Callithrix jacchus: one gene and its partners. The protein of the gene in region 5 interacts with the protein of the main gene of each other region in a pairwise test. Links are inferred from orthologs where the notes say so. Each region holds a gene or a part of one and is shown on either strand. Other genes may lie near its edges.

Region 1 (3,500 bases), on a different chromosome or scaffold from region 5:
TCATGCTTTTTTCCTGACTTTTCTTGCTACCATAGCCTTTATCTTGCTTTTATTTATAGAGTTGACTGCTTTCTATTTGATATGTTCCAACTGCCATTTTTTCTCTTCACCTTTGACCCAAATTTGATTTCTAATTATGCAAGATAAACAAGAATGCCAAATTTACTGCTCTTTGACTGCTTAAAACATGGAAATAATTTGAGTTTTAGAGAATATTTTTTTCTTCCAGTTATAAAAGAAAACTTTGGAAAAAAAAAAAAAACTAGAAAAGAGAAAATGATCATGCCTTAGTCTACCACCTCAAGAAATCACCCTTGCTGTGTTCCTCTGTCTTTCCCCATGTATGTGTGTTTATATGTTTTGAGCTTGGATAACGCTATGATGATTAACATACATCTTCAGTAGACTAGGATCACGGCCTCAGCTTGGTTAGAAATGCATTGTGTGGGGTAGGTGTGGTGGCTCATGCCTGTAATTCCAATACTTTGGGAGGCCAAGGCAGTCAGACTGCTTGAGCCTCAGGAGTTTGAGACCAGCCTGGGCAATATGGGGAAACTGGCCTCCACAAAAAATACTAAAGTTAGCTGGGCATGGTAGCATGCACCTGTAGTCCCAGCTGTTCATATTCAGGAGGCTGAGGTGGAAGGATCGGGTACGCCTTGGAGGTCAAGGCTGCAGTGAGCTCTGATGGTGCCATTGAACTCCAGCCTGGGCAACAGAGTGAGAGTCTTCCAAAAAAAAAAAAAAAAAAAAAAAAAACCAGAAAAAGAAAAAAATGCATTGTACTATTTTAAATAGATCTTTATAGGTGTTAGGTGTTCAAAAGTATTTGTTTAATGAAATAATTGAATCATTACTCTTCTCTGTGCCTCAGTTTTCCCATTTCTTAAGTAAGGAAAAAATAATTTACAAGATGTTTTATGAGGATCAGTGAAAAACAAACTGTAAATGTTGGAAGTGGCTAGGTCTTGTCAAAACTTTCCTGGCTCTCTGTTATATCACTTTTTTCCCAGAGGCTACTACTTGAGAAGAGGCAAAGGAAAAAGCGCCTTGAGCCGTTTATGGTGCAGCCCAATCCGGAAGCCAGGCTACGTCGGGCGAAGCCAAGGACTAATGAGGAGCAGACTCCTTTGGTGAACTGTCATATTCCCCACAGCAATGTCATCTTACATGGTGTGTATTTAGGCAGCATCACTTCCTGCTGGGGTACAATTTTCACAAACCTAGAAGGTAGGAGAATTCTCAGATAGACCAAAGGGATAATATTAGTACCGTTACTGGGTACCTTCTTAAATTTTTATAATCACATTTGGGGTCTTTGAAGAGAATAAAATAAATGATGTAATCAATGGAAGATGCCTTAACGTTTGTGTCCATTTTAGAACTGTTTTCTTTTTTCTGAGACGGAGTTTTGCTTTTTTCTCCTGGTGGAATACAATGGCACGATCTTGGCCCACTGCAGCCTCCTTCTCCCAGATTCAAGTGATTCTCCTGCCTCAACCTCCCACTTCAGCCCCCTGAGTAGCTGGGATTACAGGTGCCCGTCACCACACCTGGCTATTTTTTTAATATTTTTAGTAGAGATTGGGTTTCACCATATTGGCCAGGCTGGTCTCAAACTCCTGACCTCAGGTGATCCACCCACCTTGGCTTCCCAAAGTGCTGGGATTAAAGGCATGAGCCACTGCGCCCAGCCAGAAATGTTGTTTTCTAGATGCCAGATGAATGAGTTTAGAATGACCTATTTGAGGAGCTTTTGATTGTTAAATCATGGCAGAGGTGAATCATGAAACCAGGAATAGGTAGAGAGCATTCATTCTTCCAAGATAGTTCAGAGGACCATCTGAGATGGTGAGGAGGCAGAGGAAGAGTAAGATTATAAGAGCCTTTAAATCGTACCACTTTGTTTTCTTGGTCTTATTCTTAAGTTTCTGAAGTATAGCCTCAGGTACATATTACCTTAGTAACAGAGCATGTTAATGGAATGGACACCAGGCTGGGCATGGTGGCTTAGGCCTGTGATCCCAGCACTTTGGGAGGCTGAAGCAGGCAGATCACTTGAGGCCAGGTGTTTGACACTAAGCTGGGCAACATAACAAGAATCCATTTCTACAGAGAATTTAAAAATTAGCCAGGTGTAGTAGCACACACCTGTAGTCCCAGCTACTCAGGGGGCTGAAGTGGGAGGATTGCTTGAGCCCAGGAAGTCGAGGCTTCAGTGAGCTGTGATTACACCACTGCTCTCCAGCCTGGGTGACAGAGTAAGTTCCTGTCTCAGAAAAAAAGAAGACCAGTTCTGACCTACTGTCTTAAGAAAAGTTCTTATGGATGTTAAGAAAGGAGGGGACATAATATGATTTAGTAGTTTTTAATTCTGATCACATATGCCAAACCTACCCAACTAAATAGTGAATAATACTTTGCTCCTTTTTAAAAATTTATTTCATTTTGGCCCTAGGTATTGATGGTCCAGCTGCTGTCCAGAAACCAGATGGAGTTCATGCTCCATCAGTAAGCTCCCCTGTTCTGGAAGAAGATACTGAAAACACCGTGGCTAGTGTTTCCAAGCCAGGACTTAAGGAGAATCTCCAAAAGCATGGTGAGGACTAGTAATGATTTTAAGGCAATTTTTCTTCTTACTCATTTGTAATCTTTTTCTTTTCTTTCATTATAGTTAACAATCTACATGACTCAAAATTACTCATGGTTTAGGGCCACACATAGGTGACAGTATTAAGCATCTTTTACATCTGAATATTGGTCATTTTCAGCAATGGTAGTATTTATACTATTGCCTGAGAAAAATAAGGTAACTAAATATAAAATGTTAGCTACCATAGATGACTGTTTCTCTCCTTTTAACTATTTTTAGTTCCCACCCTTTTCTGACAGAGTTGTCACTCAACCCCCTCTACTCTGCCTCCACTTCATAGTTTGTGATGATTGACAGCCTTTCTGCTAGTTGGAGCTCTCATTTCCATAAATATTCCCATACATTTCAAAGATCCCTTGTAGTCTGCTTTCCTTTTTAAAAAAATAATTTTATAATGAGAAGGGGTCAAGCATCCCCTTTTCAGAAGAGAAAACTGAAGCTTAATAATGAATAAATATCCATTGGGTACCTACTTTGCATTAGGCAAACATTGCTAGGTCCTGGGATATATAAATCAGGAGAACCTAGCATGGAATGGTAGAATAGATGAACGTTTAAACAACTTCATATATTCACTTATTTAGAAATTATGTTTTGCCTGGGTGTAGTGTCTCATGCCTGTAATCCAACACTTTGAGAGGCTGAGGTGGGTGGATCACCTGAAGGTCAGGAGTTCAAGACCAACCTGGCCAACATGATGAAACCCTCTCTCCTAAAAATAGAAAAAGATTAGTCAGTTGTGGTGGTGGGTACCTGTAATCCCAGCTACTTGGGAGGCTGAGGCGGGAGAATCACTTGAACCCAGGAGGTGGAGGTGGCAGTGAGCCAAGATTGCACCATTGCACTC
Region 2 (3,500 bases), on a different chromosome or scaffold from region 5:
AGAGGTTGCAGTGACCCAAGATCACACCACTGCACTGCAGCCTGAGTGACAGAGTAAGACTCTGAATCAATAAAAATAATAAAATACTGATTGTTGACAAGTGGTCTCATGTACATGTAGGAGAAATAATAAACCTCAATTTATATCAAAATTTTATTTTGTCCTTTTAAAACTCATATTTCCTATTTGTATTATGTGTTCTTAGGATAACCTATTGATCTTTGTGTATGCTTTGTAAACTGTAGGAGGTGTCTGCAATTATTTTTTGTTTTAGATCACAAAAACTCGATGGCTACTCTTTTAAGATTCAGAACCTGCTTTTATAGGCCAGGTACAGTGGCTTATACCTGCAGTCTCAGCTCTTTGGAAGGATATGGCAGGTGGATTGCTTGAGTTTAAGAGTTTGAGACCAGCCTGGTCAACATGAACATGGCGAAAACACATGTCTACAAAAAATACAAAACTTAGCCAGGTGTGGTGGTGCACACCTGTAGTCCCAAGCTACTTAGGAGGCTAAACTGGGAGGATGGCTTGAGCCCTGGAGGCAGAGGTTGCAGTGAGCCAAGATTGTTGCTACTGTATTTTAGCCCGGATAGCAGAGCCAGGACCCTGTCTCAAAAAAAAAAAAGAATCTGCTTGTAAAACTTAAACAGATATAGGAACATTTTATGGGAGTATTGCTGTTGTTTTAATATGACCAGTATTCTGGAGATACTCATTTAACTTCCCATGTCCTATTCTAGGAGTGTGTCTAGAGAATCTGAACTTCAGAGTCTCTTTTAAGGGGAAACCTGGTGTACCATGTGATTACTACCAATTCTGTTTGGATAATAAAAAGGTTGATCACCTTGAAGAAAAAAAAGCAAAAACTCTGATGTGGGGCCCAGTGACTCACTCCTGTAATCCCAGCACTTTGGGAGGGGAAGGCAGGAAGACCACTTGAGGCCAGGAGTTCAAGACCAGCCTGTCCAACATTGCAAAACCCTGTCTCTACTAAAAATACAAAAATTAGCCAGGCATGGTGGCATGTGCCTGTAGTCCCAGTTACTCAGGAGGCTCAGTCATGAGAATTGCTTGAACCCAGGAGGTGGAGGTTGCAATGAGCTGAGATGGTGCCACTGCACTCCAGCCTGGGCACCAGAACGAGACTGTATCTAAAAAAGAAAAAGAAAATCAAAATAACTCAGATATACAAGCCCTTAAGAAGTTTGCTTCATATAAAGTTCTTAAAAAGCCGCAAAGCCTGGGCAACATAGTAAACCCTATCTTTCTTTTTCTTTTAGACAGGATCTCATTCTGTCACCCAGGCTGGAGTACAGTTGTATGATCACAGCTCACTGCAGCCTCGACCCCCCTGCCCCCAGGCTCAGGTGATCCTCCCACTTCCACATGCACTGCCACACCCGGCTAATTTTTTTGTATTTGTTGAAGGCACAAGGTTTTGCTATATTGCCCAGGCTGGTCTTGAACCCCCAGGCTCAAGCAATCCACCTGCCTTGGCCTCCCAAAGTGGTAGGATTTATAGACGTAAGCCACTGTGCCCAGCCCCCATCTTTTTTTTTTTTTTTTTTTTTTTGAGACAGTGTCTCTTTGTTGCCCAGGCTGGAATGCAGTGGTGCCATCTCAGCTCATTGCCATTTCCACCTCCCAGGCTCAAGTAGTTCTCCTGCCTCAGCCTCCTGAGTAACTGGGACTACAGGCATGCTCCACCTCACCTGGCTAATTTTTGTATTATTAGTAGAGATGGGGTTTTACCATCTCTACTAATGGTAAGTTCAAGACTGGTCTTGAACTCCTGAGCGAAAGCAATCTGCCCACCTTGGCCTCCCAAAGTGCTGGGACTACAGGCGTGAGCCATGACACCTGGCCCTATCTCTTTAAGGAAAAAAATAAAGGCAACCAGAGGATATAACCCACCCAAACAAAGGAATATACCCAGAAAGAGGAAGATGTGACCTGGGGAAACAGGAGAATCTGAAACCAGGGAGAACATTAGCACTATGGTGGACTAGGGAACCAGTGGTTCACACTGGAGCAGGAGGCCAAAGGTTACTAAGAGGGATGTCTGTGGTATTGTTAGTTACCAGGTGTGCTTGTTACTATTGAGAAGAGGTATACCAGTCTGCAGGAAAGTTACAAGAAAAGCCGAGTAACTGAAGGTGGATAGAGAGCTACGCCATCAGAAACCCAAGGCAGTCATTAGGGGAAAACAAGACATGATAGAAGAAAAGACATAAAATCATGGCAACAAAAAATTACATTATGACAGTATTAGAAAGATGGAAAAGAAGGACGTTTCACAGTAGCAAGTCAATAGAAAATGTGTGAAATAAAGATTAAGAAATAACTTTTGAAATAGTCTGAAATACAGAGGTAAATTTTAGAAGCAACTGTAAAAAGTTGAAAGTGGATGTCTCTGGCTAACTGGGGGGCTTTGGGGTGTGGAGGGAATATGATTTTTATTAAAAGTCTTATATTTGACTTTTTATATGGTATATGTGTGTTACCTTGTTGAACATTAAATTTTCTTAGTCTGAAAAATGACAATTTATATTAATAACCAGATTCTAATAGCTCTTAATATACTAGTCTTAGCTACATAATTCTCATGTATCAACGTGTTTAACAGTCTTAAAATGCTCTTTTTAAATGTTTTTCAGTTGCCTTGTTGAAGGGGATGCTAAAGAAGAAATATTGCAGCCACCAGAACCTCATCCGGTGCCACCCATCTTGACACCTTCTCCCCCTTCAGCTTTCCCAACAGTCACTACTGTGTGGCAGGATAATGATAGATACCATCCAAAGCCAGTGTTGCATATGGTTTCATCAGAACAACATTCAGCAGACCTCAACAGGAACTATAATAAATCAACAGACCTTCCAGGGAAAAATGAATCAACAATCGAACAAATAGATAAAAAATTGGAACGAAATTTAAGTTTTGAGATTAAGAAGGTCCCTCTCCAAGAGGGACCAAAAAGTTTTGATGGGAACACTCTTTTGAATAGGGGGCATGCAATTAAAATTAAATCTGCTTCACCTTGTATAACTGATAAAATCTCTAAACAACAGGAATTAAGTTCAGATCTAAATGTCGATGATATTTCTCAGAATTCTTGTATGGACTGCAGTGCAACACAATCAAACAAAGTTCCAGTTACTCCACCAGAAGAATCACAGAATTCAGACACACCTCCAAGGCCAGATTGCTTGCCTCTTGATGAAAAAGGACATGCAACGTGGTCATTTCATGGACCTAAAAATGCCATACCCATACCTGATTTATCTGAAGGCAATTCCTCAGATATCTGCTATCAAACTATGAAAACTGTGAGTTTAACACCAAGTCCTACAACACGAGTTGAAACCCATGATCTTGTGGATCATAACACTTCACCTCTCTTCAGAACACCCCTCAGTTTTACTAATCCACTTCACTCTGATGACTCAGACTCAGATGAAAGAAACTCTGATGGTGCTGTGACCCAGAATAAAACTAA
Region 3 (4,226 bases), on a different chromosome or scaffold from region 5:
GACTCAGAGCAGACAGGGAATTTTCCCAAGGCCATGGTGACCTTAAGTCTGGTAATGGTGACCAGCTACAAGCTGAATCAAGACATCGCATGACACTGGCGTGCACACGCACAACGGGAAATCGCCGTCTTTCAGCTAAAGGGTGAAGGGTTTCTTTTTGAAGCAATGAACATGTCCATTTTGGTGATGACTGCAAGACTCTGAGTATACTAAAGGCCTTTTAGTACATGGACAAACTGGACAGTATGTGGATTATCTCAATGAAGCCGTTCGGATAAAAAGAAAAGGTCACCGTCCTTGCCAAGAAGCCCTCTGAGTTTGAATCCTGACTTTGCCCCTGTCAAGCAATGAGACCTTGGACAAGCTGCTTCTCACTAGGTCTCTGTTTTCTTATCCATAACGAGAAGATCATAACAAGTACGTCTCAGTATTGTTGGGAGCTTCAAATAAGACCATGTAAGCAAGCACCTGACCCCTAGCTGGTAGCCGTTATTTCCACCGCAGTGCTAGGGGACCCAAATGTGAAAGCACCAGCAGGGTCCCCCTGTAGGGCTCACACTCCAAACAGGACACACAACTTGTGCTGTTTGGAGTCCTGAGATCTATGGTTTCCAGAGAATCAGAGGCCCCTTTCAGCGCCATGCTCAAGCACACTACATTTCTACAAGGTGCTCTCCATTCAAGGTTGCAGGACTAGGGTGTGGAAAGTTGTGACTGCAGCAGGGCTGACAGTGTCTATCTGGGATTGTTGGAGTGGGTCATCTGACAATATCTGGGATTGCTGGAGTGGGTCATCTGACAATATCTGGGATTGCTGGTAGGCCCAGGAGCTGAAGATGGGGCTGGAGAGAGAGAGAGGAAGGAGGAGGGGCCCTGCTTCTGGAAACATTTTCTGTGTGAGACAGAGAAATGCTTCTTTGCTCACCGACTGGCTGGCCTATGCTCATGCTGGGGTTCATGTCTTTCTCCCCCAGCCAAGGGCAGCTTCCTCTTTTCCTCTCTTATCACTCCCTGCCCAGCGTCTGTGGGTTTTCAACTTCGGTCATTGTACAAGTTGATAAAATATTTTTAAAAGTTTAAATCAGATTAAAAATTACCCCCAATGCCACTACTCATAGTCAACAATGACTAATATTTTGATGTATATCTTTGTCAGATATTTTCTACTTATATGTACATATATAAATAATATAATATTTCAGCGGGTTCAGGTGGCTCATGCCTGTAATCTCAGCGCTTTGGGAGGCTGAGGTAGGCTGATCACTTGAGGCCAAGGGTTCGAGACTAGCCTGGCCAACATGGTGAAGCCCGTCTCTATTAAACATGCGAAAATGATCACTGCCTGCTCAGCGTCCCCTGGGCTTTCAAGCTGAGTGGCATTTCGATTCCACTTTCTCTTCCTTCTCTCCCTTGCCCAAGCCACCTGTCCATCCTTTCTCTAAGCCTGACCCTTTTTATCTACATTCTTCCTATGGACCGGCGCCCTTTGGTCTAGGCCAGTGGTGATTAACTTTGGCTGCTGCTCATTAGAATCCCCCAGGGAGCTTTAGAACTTATTGAAACCAAAAAAATTTTTGGCCCTAAGCCAAAAAATTCAGATTTAATTGGTCTTCACTCCACTCGGATTCCAGCAGCAGCTTTCTGGCTAGTCTCCCTAACCCCATCCTCAATACCCACTCCTGCCCGCCCAGTACACGCAGCGACATACCAAGCCACACCTTGTGCGTCTTCTACACATAGCAGCAAAAAACACCTACCACCTTGGATCACTCTGACAAGCAGATCCAAAACAAGGGCTGTTGATCCTTAAATATGTTGTTTCCAGCCTTTTTCTGCCATGTAACTCCTCCTTCAGGGCACCCTGGCTTGAAACGAGCTCTCTTGATGAAAGGCCCGCTGCTCTCCCGTCAGCCTCTTCTCCCCACCCCGTCGTCAGCCACTAGAACAGTTGCCTTTTCCCTCTGTTCACCTGTCCCCCTCCTGATTAATGCCACGTTAATCCAGGTTCTTCACCCAGCCCCACCTTCCTGTAACCACCTGAAGAGAGGGTTGTAGGCAGGTAGCCTTGAGCGTCTATCAGGTGTGTGGATCCCGTTCCCACACTGGACCGTGGTGGCAGGACACGTGCGTCTGATTTCCTGTACAGCCCCCCTGGAGGCAGAGGTCAGCGCTGGGGAATAGTATAAGTGCTATTTTCCAACTTGCCAAATAGCACTCATACTGAAATAAAGCAATCTGAGGAATGAACACTTACCTAGAATCTTCAAATCAAACGTTTTTTCCAACACACTTTTTCCTTCTGCATCGTATATCGATACCGTGTAGGTATTCTGATCATCCATCTTCAGATGCTTGATTTTCAGAGTCCCACTTTCTAATAGCTTATACGCATCTTTTTCCTCAAAAGTCGACTTCCCTTTTCTGAATTGTGCAATCTTCTTCTTGTCTGAACCTTTTTCCCATTTTATATCGTCAATATCCGCACTCATTTGAAAATCAGGAATGTCCAAGTGGATGTCTTGACCCAAAGCACCCCAGACTTCCAAGGCATTCCTAACATCTTTGGAGAGTAAACCTGTAAAAAGCAAAAGAATTACTGAGACTCACTTCCAGAAAAAGCTACGTTGGGACTTCTTTGACTCTTAAGCTTACTTCAGGATCTCTGAAGAAGTTCTAACAGTGACGATGGAGATCCACGCACCAACTTACCTTTGGAAGAAACGTTGAAAATCAGAAGGAAGCTGGCTACAATTTTACATGGAAGGCTCATCTTAGGAGCTAGTTCCCTCTTTGGATTCTGAGCTCTTCATGCAAAAGGAACTAAAGTGAGACTGGTGAAGTCCGCACCCCGACAACTTAACCACGTGCCTCTCTTTACACGTTTTACAGTAACATAAAACATGTACACATACACAGAGAGAGAGAGAGCCACAAGCCAGCCCTTCTGATGTGCTCCTTTGCCTAAGCAGATGTGTTTATGAGTGTGTGTTTTCTTACCACATTTTGATCTCCACACAAAAAATTGGGAAGGAAGAGTTTTCTCATCCCAATGAAAGAGAAAAGGAGCAGAGAGACTATGTAGATCATTCGGGATCACTCTTTTGGAAGCAAGAGGCCAAATTCAGCCACACAGTCTTTTATCCACTTAGGTCTACGGACTCTAAAACACCACATAGAAATATAGGTAAATGTTCAAAGCCAGTAGCAGAAGGCAAATATTTATCCTAGATGATTATAAATACTGAAAAATGTATACCCATAGAATGATTAGAAATTGATTTTTTTCTGTTTCTCCAAAGATATTTTTCATGTTCTAAAATCATTTTTGTGATTAAAAAAAAAAAGGAAATTGAGCATCAGCTGTAAATGCTTGCAATCCCCAAATCCTATACGTTGGCATACGTTGGCATACGTTTTACAACTGTGGTGAAATTGACAGGTAAATAAAAACTTGTTCCAAAACAAAGAAGCGTAAACACTATGAAATATAATTAATCCACCAGAACAAACGAGTCAAAAGCATTTAAAGCGATTAGCATGATAGACGGTTAAGAAAAAAGAGAGATTAGGAGAAAAAAGGGAAGTGAGAGGGAACAGGGACAGGAACAGAGAGGAGAAATGTGTCAAACAAGGAAAGAGACAGTGGCGCAGAGATCGATGTGGCCTGAGAAGACGTCTAGGGAGAGCAAGTCACGGAAAAGAGGTGTAACTTGACCGACTTCCAAAGCACAGTTTCAGCTGCAATTCTTTAGCTCACAGTGAGTAACAATTGTAAAAGTGGTGCTTGTTTTCCTTTTCAACTCTAAGTACAAATGGATATTATCTGTTAGAAAGTTGCCGAGGAAAGCAGTTGTTTGCTATTACTGGGTAAAAGGAAGCCCAAATATTTATCTCATGGTTGTGTGAGCATCATCCACAATAATGCATTACAGTTGGATTACAATTTTAAATGCAAAAATATTATAATAATGCTAAATGGTGGCTGGGAGCGGTGTCTGAAATCTCAACACTTTAGGAGGCCGAGGCGGGAGGATCACCTGAGGTCAGGAGTTCAAGATCAGCCTGGCCAACATGGCGAAACCCCATCTCTACTAAAAATACAAAAATTAGCTGGGTGTGGTGGTGGGCACCTGTAATCCCAGCTACTCAGGAGGCTGAGGCAGGAGAATTGCTTGAACCCAGGAGGCAGAGGTTGCAGTGAGCCGAGATCGTGCCATTGCATTCCA
Region 4 (4,098 bases), on a different chromosome or scaffold from region 5:
AAAAAGTGCCAAGTGTGATGGGAGCGGCCCCATCACCTGGCTCAGGGAAGATCACAAGAAAATTCAGAAAAGAGAATTCCTTTCTCTGCGCTTTCTTGGAACACCTGGAGTCTGGTTCTCAGGTTTAGACCCATGAGGACTAAATCCAGTGGCTCCTAATTCCAGAAGCTTTCCAGGACTGCCCTCCCCGGCTGCTAACCCAGGTCACTCCTAGTCCTACCCTGACCACAGGGAACTGGAAGTGTGTATCCCATGAGGCCTTGTCCATTCTTTTTGTTTTCCCCTGAGACGGAGTTTCACTCTTGTTGCCCAGGCTGGAGTGCAGTGGCACAATCTAGGCTCACTGCAACCTCCACCTCCTGGGTTTAAGTGATTCTCCTACCTCAGTCTCCCAAGTAGCTGGGATTACAAGCATGTAATCCCACCACTCCAGGCTAATTTTGTATTTTTAGTAGAGACGGGGTGTCTCCATGTTGGCCGACCTCAGGTGATCCACCCACCTCGGCATCCCAAAGTGCTAGGATTACAGGCATGAGCCACTCCACCTGGCCCGCCTCGTCCATTCTTGGCCACTCCTCCAGGAAACGCCTGGATAGCCAGGACTTGGGGACTCTGGATGTTCAGAAGGTGGGGACGGGCTGAATGAATGAGTTCTAACTTTGCCCACGCACCGTTCTACACAGTGGGAATAATAGAGGGAAGAAAAATGAAGATCCTGCTTCCATAAAACTTGTCACAGGATGGACCCTTCCAACTCTGCCCTCGGGGACACAGCAGGAGGGGCCGGCTCCCTTCTCTGAATTGTTGCACTTGAAACCGCCTTCGCAACAACTGTACCTGAGGAAATTATGACAGCAAAAAGAGATCAGACCTAAGCAACTCCATCTTGCTTGTAACCTTTAAGCTGTCCTTGCTCTTTCCTGGGCATAGGCCGAACTAACCTTGGGAAGAAATTCAGTCTATAGTTTGACTCTGAGACAAGATTGGTAATAGCTTTTTCCAGAAAACACCCTCTTCTTACCTGGGGACCAGTCAGCCTTTGGAGGACTGACAAGCTGCAAGATTAGAAATTATCGTTTAGGGGTCACGAAGCCTCTGGCTCAAGAGTCTGAACCTCCCCAAATTGCTCCTGGGGATAACATCACTATTATAAAAATCTAAGATCAGTGCTTGAGATATTTTTGCAGACCCTGTACTAGGTGGATCCGCTGACACCACCCAGACGAGTAATGTGGCTCAACCAGTCCCGCAATCCCACCCACGGACAGAATCCCACCCAGGAACAGAAGACAGCAAGAAAATCTCACTTCGACCTCCTCAGGACTCCATCTCCAACCTCAGGAAGCTCCAGCCAATCAGCACCCCCCACTTCCTGAGCCCCTACCGACCAAATCATCTTAAAAACTCGGATCCCCTAGGCTGGGTACAGTGGCTCACCCTGTAATCCCAGAACTTTCAGGAGGCTGAGGTGGGTGGATCACCTGAGTTCAGGAGTTCCAGACCAGCCTGGCCAACATGGTGAAACCCTGTCTCTACTAAAAATACAAAAAAATTGGTCGGACATGGTGTGGTTGACGCCTGTAATCCCAGCTACTCAGGAGGCTGAGGCAGGAGAAAAGCTTGAACTCGGGAGGCAGAGGTTGCAGTGAGCCAAGATTGTGCCACTGCACTCCAGCCTGGGCAACAAGAGTGAAACTCCAGTCTCCTGCAGAGCTGGCTCTGTGTGAATTGCTTTCTCCATTGCAATTCCCCTGTCTTGATAAATCGGCTCTGTCTAGGAAGCAGGCTAAGTGAACCCACTGGGTGGTTACACACTGACCCCAGGATTTAGGGAGCATCTCTTACTAATCCTCAGCTCTGATGCAGCCACCCCTGTGGGTCCCTCCTGGTTACTAAATCTCCCACTGTCTCACAGAGTCTGGAAGTCACATCCCCAACAAAGGCCTAGATTTCTCTCCCTGAAAAAAGAAGCGCCAGATGCTGATGGGCCAGGAAATTCCCAGCTCCGACTTCGTTTTCCGATCTGCACATTGAGGACACGGGCACTTTCTGGCCCAGATCCAGAACTTCCATAATCACAAACATCTGGCCCTGCAGAGACCTGGGCCTCAGTTTTTCCTTCTGTGTATTGGGAGGATGCACTTTATCCACTCCTGCTCAAAATGCCCCCTTCCCCTGGAATGACATGCTATGTGACCCAAGGAGAAAGACCACACCCCAGCACCAGGCCCGATTTTCAGACAGAAAACAACAGGCCTAGGACGCTGTGCTGCGAGCATTTTATGCATCTTGCAAGCTCTGAAATTCCTAAAGCTAAGTTTCACAACTCAGACTGGCCCCCTACTTCCCAGCACTCTAATTTTCAATCTGGGAGGTCTGACCGGGCCCGAAGCGTTCGGGGCCCCTTCCCTGCCCAAAAACTTGCATTTGGCGGGCCCCCACCTTTTTTGACCTCAGTTTCCCCACCTGAGGGGAAAAAATGGGAAAAACTAAGTAAAGCGAGCCCGCTGTACTACGGATACAAGCCCGTGCAACCCTAAATCTCAGACACAGACGTCCTAGAGCCATCTGCAGTCTCCAGCCTCAGTTTCCCAGCCTCGTGCCGGGAGACGGAACGCGAGGCTCTGACTCTACGTTCACCCCGCGCCAACCCAACCGTCAGCGCCCGCCCGGAGGGCTCCCAACGCCTGCGGCTCCCGCCTCCCGATGAGACCCCGCCGTTGCCCTGCCCTCACCATGGTGCCGGCGGGGACCGGGCTCGCCGGCCACTTCCGCCACCGCCGCTGCACACGCTCCCGGCGGTCGTCGCAGCGCCGCGCGCCACTAGGCTGAAAGAAAGTGGCAGACACGCGAGCCAGTCAGCACTGGGCTCGAAGGGCGGCCAACCAATCCACGCGGAACACGGCGGGGCCCTCTGGGCGAAAGGGGCGGGCGGGCCGCGTTCCCGCCGGAGGAACGAGGAATAGAGCCGTAAAGTGTCGCGACTTGTAATGCAAAAGGGGGCGGAGCAACGCGCCCAGGCGCGGGGTGTTTTGTGGGTAAGCGCATGCGCAGGTGAAGCCGTCGGTCTCGGGCTCCACGCTGTGGGCAAAGCCAGTTAATGCCTTTCGTTTGCAGTCTTAGAGACAGCGAGGTCTCGTGGTGATTGGGACGTCCCTCAGGTCGCCCTTCGGACTCCTAGTTTTCTAATTCTGTAATTATCCAGGAACATCATTTAGTGGGTTGGAATCCTGACCACGCCCCTCGGAGCCTCAGTTTGCTGTAAAATGGGTTATAATAGTAGTGTCTGCTCCAAAAGGTTGCTTGCTGTGAGGATGAAATGAGTGAAACTATGTAAAAAGCACTTAAAACAGCGCCTGGCGATCGGGCGCGATGGCTCACGCCTGTAATCCCAGCACTTTGGGAGACCGAGGCGGGTGGATCACGAGGTCAAGAGATCGAGACCATCCTGGTCAACAAGGTGAAACCCCGTCTCTACTGAAAATACAAAAAAAATTAGCTGGGCATGGTGGCGCGTGCCTGTAATCTCAACTACTTGGGAGGCTGAGGCAGGAGAATTGCCTGAACCCAGGAGACGGAGGTTGCCGTGAGCCGAGATCGGCCATTGCACTCCAGCCTGGGTAACAAGAGCGAAACTCCGTCTCAAAAAAAACAAAAAACAAAAAAATAAAATTAGCCGGCAGTGGTGTAATCCCAGAATCGCTTGAACCCAGGAGGCAAAGGATCACGCCATTGTACTCCAGCCTGAACCCAGGAGGCAAAGGATCACGCCATTGTACTCCAGCCTGAGCAACTAGCGAAACTCTGTCTCAAAACAAACAAAAACAGGTCTGGCGCATATTAAGTACTTAACAATATACTTTGTGCCTGCTTCTGCTCACAGAAATGAACAAAACACAAAATTCGTGGCTCTCAGGGAGACAGTAAACAAAGTAAATAGGCAAATGCTGTTGTTTCCTGGGGCTGTAACAAACGCCTGCAAACTGAGAGGTTTAAAACAACAGAACGTGATTTTCTCACAGTTCAGGAGACCAGATTCTGAACTGAGGCTGTCAGTGGAGCTGGCTCGCTCCGGAGGCTCTGTGTGTCCTGTGCCTC
Region 5 (3,500 bases):
GACTGAGGGGGCGCATGGCTTGGGCTGAGCTTCCAGGACTTGGGAGGTAGACATATGTGTCCCATCGTGAGAGGGAAACTGAGGCACAGAGATGGGAAGTGGCTGGGCCAGGACACCCAGGCCCAGCCAGGCCCCAGCCTCAGGTACAGCTTTTTCCCCTTCCAGGCTCAGCTGTGACTTTCCATTTTCAGTTTTACAATGATCCTTCGTCTCTAAGCAAGCAGTGGGTCTGTGTGCTGCCCTCCCACCCTATGCCGGGCACCACCCTCATCACTAAGGCCTTGAGAGGCCAAGCCCCCATCCCCACAGGCCCAAGCCCAGCCTCCAGGCTAGCCTGCATCCTGCCGGCCCTCCAAAGAGCCCATCCCCAACCCCAGCCCTGCAGCCTCCCTGACAAGGATCTGCCAGCCTCTGCTTACACACCTCCCATGATGAGGACCTCACTTCCATGCAGCCACTCTGTCTCAGGATAGCCATGCCCTACGTATGGGTGAGAAGTAGCTTCGGATGCTAAGCAATGCCACACAACTCCCCCATCCCAGTCTGTGTCTGACTCCTCCGCCTTGGGCAGTCCTGCAGGGTGACTGGCTGCACGTGTCTGACTGCTCCGCCTTGGGCAGTCCTGCAGTGTGACTGGCTGCACGTGTCTGACTGCTCCGCCTTGGGCAGTCCTGCAGGGTGACTGGCTGCACGTGTCTGACTGCTCCGCCTTGGGCAGTCCTGCAGGGTGACTGGCTGCAAGTCCGCCTTTCTCCGGGACAATCAGCCCTGCTCCTTAGACTCAAGCCAGTTTCCAGTGATCTCCCCACAACTCAGACTGCCTTGTCTGGACACCCTCAAGTTGCCACAGACTCTCCATAGTCTGCAGTAGTAGGATCTTCCTAGGCGTGAGGCAGCTTGACCAGAAGGACCCTCCATGGGGCCCTGGGACTGGGAGCTGGCCTTGGTGCCAGCAGCCAGGCCTCTGCCCTCCCCACCCACTTCAGATCACCCTCAAGCCCCAAAGCCTGGGATACTGTCCCACCACCACCCCCCTGCCACCCTCCACTGGCTCTGCGGGGAGGGTCAGCCCCCCCACCCACAGAGCAAGTGAAAGGCTGGTGATGGGGGAATTGCTCCCCTGCCCCCTGCACCTGCCTCACCTTCTTCCTCTGCTCCTTCTGCCTCTCCCGGAACTCCTCGAGACTCCGCAGCTCCTCGCGCAGGGTCAGGGCCAGCTGGATGTGTGAGCTGCCCACATTCTCCATTTCTGGGGGCAGAGCATGGACACTGGTTCCCAGTGTCAGACCTGATGGGCCTCAGCCAGCCACAACTCACCCCTCTGGCCCAGCACAGCCTCAGCCCAACACCTCATTTTCTGTTCCTCCAAACCCTCCACCAGCCTCAACGTCCCTAAAGATCCCATCGCCCCAGGGTAGGGTACTTACGCTGCTTCAAGGAGTCAAAGGAGGCCCTCAGGGAGCTGCAAAACAGACAGGTCCAGGTCAGGAGGAGGAGAGCACAGTGGGAACCTGAAGTCCAGGCTGGCCCAGGGGGACTTTTATTTTGGTGGGAAGACCCTGGGTCACCCTAGAACCAAGGGACCCTTTAGCCAGATGGTGACCATCCACTGGGGCCCCAAACTGTGATTTCTGGAAGGCAAAGCTCTCTGCAAATTAAACAATCAAACTCCCTCCATGTGGTAGAAGAAGGAGGTACCAATGCCCATGCTCCCACCATCTGTGCTCCTGGCTGCATTCTTAGAGAAGAAGGGACTGTCTTTAGGACCCTCCTCCTTCCCCTGAACCCACAGTCACAGCCCTCTCTCCTCTGCAGGTACTGAATGGCCCCACGGTGAGGCTGCAGGGGAGAGGACAGTGTTCAGATGGGCTCTCAGCAGGTGGCCCAGGGGATGTTTGGAGGGGCTGGATGGCCATGGGAGAGGTTAGCAGGGCAGGGCACCGGAGGTGAGAGGTGGGCACTGTCTGCCAGGGAGGGAGGGAGGGAGGGAAGGCCCAGCACAGGGCATGGGAGGAAATGATGGGCAGGGGGGGAGGGCTGTGGAATGAGCACAGAAAACACAGGACACCAGTGCAATGCGAATCTCAGATGAACGAGAACTTTTCGAGTTTAGTATGCCCCTTGTCGTATTTAAATCGTATTTTTATTTTTTAATTTTTTTGAAATGGAGTCTCAGTCTGTCACCAGGCTGGAGTGCAGTGGCACCATCTCAGCTCACTGCAACCCCTGCCTCGAGGGTACCAGCAATTCTCCTGCCTCAGCCTCCCTAGTAGCTGAGACTACAGGTGCCCGCCACCACATCCAGCTAATTTTTGTATTTTTAGTAGAGACGGGGTTTCACCATATTGGCCAGGATGGTTTCAATCTCCTGACCTCGTGATCCACCTGCCTCAGTCTCCCAAAGTGCTGGGATTACAGGTGTGAGCCACTGCACCCGGCCTAAAACCTACTTTTTTTTTCCTCTTGTAACTGCCATTTATCATATATATTGTATATATAGATCAAATACATTTTGTACATTTACATTTTATGGTTTCTTTTTAAAAATTATTTATTTATTTATTTTATTTATTTATTTTACTTTAGGTGCCTACTATATCTGGCATTTCTCCCATGTTATCCCTTCCCACTCCCCATTGTCTGTATAGCCAAGACAATCCTAAGCAAAAAGAACAAAGCCGGAGGCATCACACTGCCAGACCTACTTTTGTTTTTAAAGAATTCGTTGTTTATCTGAATTCACATTCACCTGGGCATCCAGTATTTTATCTGGCTCTCCCCGTAGCTTCTCTGTGGAGCAGCTCGCCCGCCCCCTGGCGGCCATATGGCCTCATGACTCCCACCAGACAGCCCTGGGTGGCGAGGGCAGCGCACCAGGCAGGCTTCTCAGGGAGCTTCTCCTCTCGATAGACACCTGGGGAAGCGGAGGCCAAGGAGGAGCAGCAACCTGGCAGGAGCCCTGGGGGTCCAGGCCTGGGGGGAGATCTGTGGGGGCCAGGTCCCTCGCCCTAAACTCGTGGATCCCAAAGTGAGGTCCACAGGCCAGCAGCAGCAGCATCCGCGGAGCCTCTTAGAAATACAGATTCTCAGGCTTCTCCCTGTCCTTCTGAGGCTGAGGCTTCGGGGTGGGGGCCGGCCCCAAGCGCTGCGATGCCCATCCAGACGTGAGACCTGCTGGCCTGAGAGACGAGACCTCACAACTCTGCCAGCCCTTTATTATCCCATTTCACAGATGAGAAGCCAAGGGTAAGAGGGATGAATGCGCTGCACTCGTGGCCGCCCTGCGGAAGGAAGCGGAACCCAGGGAGAGGAAGGAGAGGGGGTGGCTGAGTGGTGACCCCACCTTCCCTTGTGGGGCTCAGGACTCTGACTCCTCACCAGCCGTGACACCTGCAATCCCTCTGCTTCCTGTCAGTGCACCCCTCGGCTCAGTGTCTCCCATTCACAGAAGCCTCCAGGAGCAGTGCGGTCCCCTGTGCCCCCACCCAGCCCTCACGCAT
Region 6 (3,500 bases), on a different chromosome or scaffold from region 5:
ACCACTTTAGCCAACAGATATCAAAAGCCTCAAAGTTTAAAAATGAAGTGCTTTGTTATAATAATTCTCTGAAGAATAAGTAATTATAGTAACTCAGTCACCTATCTTACAAAGCCAGAAATCTGCAAGTCATCCTAAAGTCTTCCTTTCTCTAACCTCTGATTAATCATTTACCATATTTAAATAGCTCTCAAAAACATTCCTCTACCACCATTATCCCTTGTCTAAGTATTAAGCTATTAACTAAACTGACTGGGCATAAAAATTATCATAATCAGACTTTGGGTCGATGTTTAGATATTTAACATCTGGTGATGTACTCTGCCCTTCCAGTACTAAGAGGCTGCAAAGACAGCAAGTCAATGCAAAATCAAAGTACTACTTCCAAAGAAAACTTTTCTCTTCACCATGTGATTGATTCTATTATCTGACCAACAGGAAGTGCCTCCAGTTATTCCAAAATGCCAACTTGTCCCATATCCTAGAGCAGTTGTCCCCAATATTGTTGGCACAAGGGACCAGTCTGGTGGAAGACAATTTTTCCATGGATGGAGTGGGGTGTTGGATGATGGTTTTGGATTAAACTGTTCCATCTCAGATCAGGCATTAGATTTTCATAAGGAGCACACTACCTAGATCCCTCACTTCTGTAGTTCACAGTAACGCCTGTACTCCTATGAGAATTTAACACCACTGTTGATCTGACAGGAGGCAAAGCTCAGGCAGTAATGCTGCTCACTTCCTGCCGTGTGGCCCGACTCCTAACAGGCCGTGGACCAGAACCAGTCTGAAGCATGGAGGTTGGGGGGACCCCCGGCCTAGAGGCCTGGTTAGATTTCTATTCCCTTTTCTGCTAGCATTTATGGATAAGAAACAAACAGAATAATTTTAGAAGCACAAATGCAGTAAAGCCCTAATCCCAATGAAGTGTAATGTTCATAATATCTTGCTTATATTACAAATAAGATATTGAAACAGCAAATCCGTCTACATACATATAATTGATTTATATGTTTTTACTTAGTCAGACATCACTGGCATTTAGCTATCTAAAAAAAAAAATTTTAAAGCAAGGCAATTACCTGAGGAGAGTCAAAAGGATATCGACTACTAAATTTAAATAGAAGTTGAAACTTTTCCCCTTCATATAAGGTACCTGGTGCACCTTCCATGTCTACAATCCACCTAGAATAGAGGAAAGGCAAATTAAAAACTTAAGATAATAGAGACTGGGGTAAGGAGGAGAAAAGAGAACACCAACTACTTCCTATATACTAAGCACTGGGACAAGAGTTGTTTATCCATAACAGCACATGCTAGCCTCACAATAACTCTGAGTGTTAATACTCATGACATATCCCTTTCTCTGACACTCAGGGGTTAAATAACCAGATCAAGGTGAGACAGCCAGCAAGACAGAGCCAGGTCTAAAAAAACAAAATAAAAACTCAAACTTAGGTGTGCCAACACCAAAGCCTGTGGTCTTCCTACTTGATTTATACTACCTCATTTTTCCAAAATATCATTTCTACAATGCTAATATTATGTATTTTATATATAATATCAAACTAATCAACTGCTTTTCTGATTATTACTGGTGGAAGCCATGGAGAAGTACGTATAGACAATGACTACAAAGAACTGTAGCTGTCAGACTTATTTTTCTCGTCAGCATTCTACAGAAGATTAACAAGGAAAGGGGAACTAAACTGACATCAGTCCACTTACTCTGAGAGTTAAGCAAAGCTTTGTAGTGCCTTTCCTTTATCTCATACTATGTTTCAATTGTTTAATAAAGCCCAGAATAGATTTCTATGGCATCTATGCAAGCCTACTTTATTTTCACATGTAACAATCATATATATAAATGTGTTTTTATTTTTAGTCTATATACTATTTCTTGCTATTTTAAGATGGGGGAAGAATAAGGGAAAATGACAAGCAAAGATAACGGGGCAGCAGCCAAGCACAGTGGCTCAAGTCTGTAATTCCAGGACTTTGGGAGGCTGAGGTGGATGGATCATGAGGTCAGGAGATCGAGACCATCCTGGCTAACATGAAACCCCATCTCTACTAAAAAAAAAACACAAAAATTAGCTGGGCATGGTAGTGTGCACCTGTATTCCCAGCTACTGAGGAGGCTGAGACAGGACAATCACTTGAACCCGGGAGGCGGGAGCCAAGATTATACCACTACACTCCAGCCTGGGCAACAGAGCAAGACTCCGTTTCAAAAAATAAAAAAAAAAAGGTAACAGGGCAGCATTCGAAGCAAAAGTGAACTGAAGTCATTAACAATGAGTTCCTATTTATAGCTCTGTCACTTACAATTATTGTACACCTAGCCAATTCTCTTGAACTTTTCAGGTATTAAAACTTTCTTGTATTTTAAAACACAAGAAAACAAAATGAAGACAGAAAACACAGTGCTGGGATTCTAGTCATCACCATGTATACCATGAACTTAGGAATATGTAAAATGATAAATACGCCTATTCTCTAAAAGAAATCAGCTACAGTATACAGACTCTTAAGAGCATAGCTATTCATTTTTAGAATGCATGCTGAGTACCATACATGGTAATGAAAGATATGACCACAGACCCGAGAGACAATATTTTATAGTGAAATTAGACAGTTATAACTTAAGTTATACTGAAGTGGCAATTATAGTTAATCTTAACTAGTTGTGTAAGGCCTCTCCAATTTTAACTACCTCAATAATAAAACAGAATATAATTACGTCATAGTGTTGCTGGATAAATAACCCTACATATGTAAAAACCCTAGCACATTCCTGACTCTGAGCCAATGCATGGTAAATTAAATACACGACAAAAGCTGCATACAGAACAAAAAACTATATCTCTCTCTCTCTTTTTTTTTTTTTTTTTTTTTGAGACAGAGTCTCACTCTATTGCCCAGTATGGAGTGCAATGGTGTGATCTGGACTCACTGCAACCTCTGCCTCCTGGGCTCAAGCAATACTCCTTCTTCAGCCTCCCAAGTAGCTGAGATTACAGGCGTGCACTACCACGCCCACCTAATTTTTCTATTTTTAGTAGAGACAGGATTTTGCCAGGTTCCTTAGGCTAGTCTCCAACTCCTGACCTCTTGATCTGCCTGCCTCGGCCTCCCAAAGTGCTGGGATTACAGGCATGAGCCACCATGCCAGGCCCAAAGAAACTCCCCCTTTATATATTAGGTCCTTCATAGTCTTTTAAATTCCTTTTTGATTTTTCCACCCACATCCACTAGGCAGAGTGATATTCCCAAGAAAAATGGTGGTCTTTCATTCTGTTTAAATGGTAATTTTAGGACACTCAACGTAAATTTACATATGACCTATACTAACAAGCACAGCTTTTAAATAAGAGCTAAGCAAGTATCTCATCAATCCTTGTAGTATCTGTATGACAGGTCAAAGACAGCATAACTTCCAAGAGTTTCAGGTACTTTATAATAACTTTTTTTTGAGACAGGGTCTTATTCTGTCACCT

The links.
Region 1: the proteins of PSTPIP1 (region 5) and TULP3 interact in binary tests that used the Homo sapiens proteins (3 or more experiments, as listed by UniProt). The two-hybrid records come from large-scale screens. The link is inferred for Callithrix jacchus from reciprocal best matches to the Homo sapiens genes PSTPIP1 and TULP3.
Region 2: the proteins of PSTPIP1 (region 5) and PTPN12 interact in binary tests that used the Homo sapiens proteins (3 or more experiments, as listed by UniProt). The link is inferred for Callithrix jacchus from reciprocal best matches to the Homo sapiens genes PSTPIP1 and PTPN12.
Region 3: the proteins of PSTPIP1 (region 5) and CD2 interact in a two-hybrid assay, tested with the Homo sapiens proteins (2 studies listed by BioGRID and IntAct). The link is inferred for Callithrix jacchus from reciprocal best matches to the Homo sapiens genes PSTPIP1 and CD2.
Region 4: the proteins of PSTPIP1 (region 5) and LSM4 interact in binary tests that used the Homo sapiens proteins (3 or more experiments, as listed by UniProt). The two-hybrid records come from large-scale screens. The link is inferred for Callithrix jacchus from reciprocal best matches to the Homo sapiens genes PSTPIP1 and LSM4.
Region 6: the proteins of PSTPIP1 (region 5) and UBE2W interact in binary tests that used the Homo sapiens proteins (3 or more experiments, as listed by UniProt). The two-hybrid records come from large-scale screens. The link is inferred for Callithrix jacchus from reciprocal best matches to the Homo sapiens genes PSTPIP1 and UBE2W.

The regions. Positions count from the first base shown.
Region 1 is NC_133510.1:16,244,966-16,248,465, forward strand, and holds part of TULP3 (tubby-related protein 3), read left to right. Parts: intron 1-1,013; coding exon 1,014-1,173; intron 1,174-2,458; coding exon 2,459-2,599; intron 2,600-3,500. UniProt on the Homo sapiens protein: Negative regulator of the Shh signaling transduction pathway: recruited to primary cilia via association with the IFT complex A (IFT-A) and is required for recruitment of G protein-coupled receptor GPR161 to cilia, a promoter of PKA-dependent basal repression machinery in Shh signaling.
Region 2 is NC_133512.1:72,500,724-72,504,223, reverse strand, and holds part of PTPN12 (tyrosine-protein phosphatase non-receptor type 12), read left to right. Parts: intron 1-2,660; coding exon 2,661-3,500. UniProt on the Homo sapiens protein: Dephosphorylates a range of proteins, and thereby regulates cellular signaling cascades. Dephosphorylates cellular tyrosine kinases, such as ERBB2 and PTK2B/PYK2, and thereby regulates signaling via ERBB2 and PTK2B/PYK2.
Region 3 is NC_133508.1:154,764,676-154,768,901, reverse strand, and holds the start of CD2 (T-cell surface antigen CD2 precursor), read right to left. Parts: upstream 2,801-4,226; 5' UTR 2,771-2,800; coding exon 2,710-2,770; intron 2,576-2,709; coding exon 2,255-2,575; intron 1-2,254. UniProt on the Homo sapiens protein: CD2 interacts with lymphocyte function-associated antigen CD58 (LFA-3) and CD48/BCM1 to mediate adhesion between T-cells and other cell types. CD2 is implicated in the triggering of T-cells, the cytoplasmic domain is implicated in the signaling function.
Region 4 is NC_133523.1:17,038,834-17,042,931, forward strand, and holds the start of LSM4 (U6 snRNA-associated Sm-like protein LSm4), read right to left. Parts: upstream 2,801-4,098; 5' UTR 2,739-2,800; coding exon 2,736-2,738; intron 1-2,735. UniProt on the Homo sapiens protein: Plays a role in pre-mRNA splicing as component of the U4/U6-U5 tri-snRNP complex that is involved in spliceosome assembly, and as component of the precatalytic spliceosome (spliceosome B complex).
Region 5 is NC_133509.1:23,975,952-23,979,451, forward strand, and holds part of PSTPIP1 (proline-serine-threonine phosphatase-interacting protein 1), read right to left. Parts: intron 1,463-3,500; coding exon 1,428-1,462; intron 1,250-1,427; coding exon 1,143-1,249; intron 587-1,142; exon of another isoform or gene 478-586; coding exon of another isoform or gene 424-477; intron 1-423. UniProt on the Homo sapiens protein: Involved in regulation of the actin cytoskeleton. May regulate WAS actin-bundling activity. Bridges the interaction between ABL1 and PTPN18 leading to ABL1 dephosphorylation.
Region 6 is NC_133517.1:29,516,969-29,520,468, forward strand, and holds part of UBE2W (ubiquitin-conjugating enzyme E2 W), read right to left. Parts: intron 1,186-3,500; coding exon 1,083-1,185; intron 1-1,082. UniProt on the Homo sapiens protein: Accepts ubiquitin from the E1 complex and catalyzes its covalent attachment to other proteins.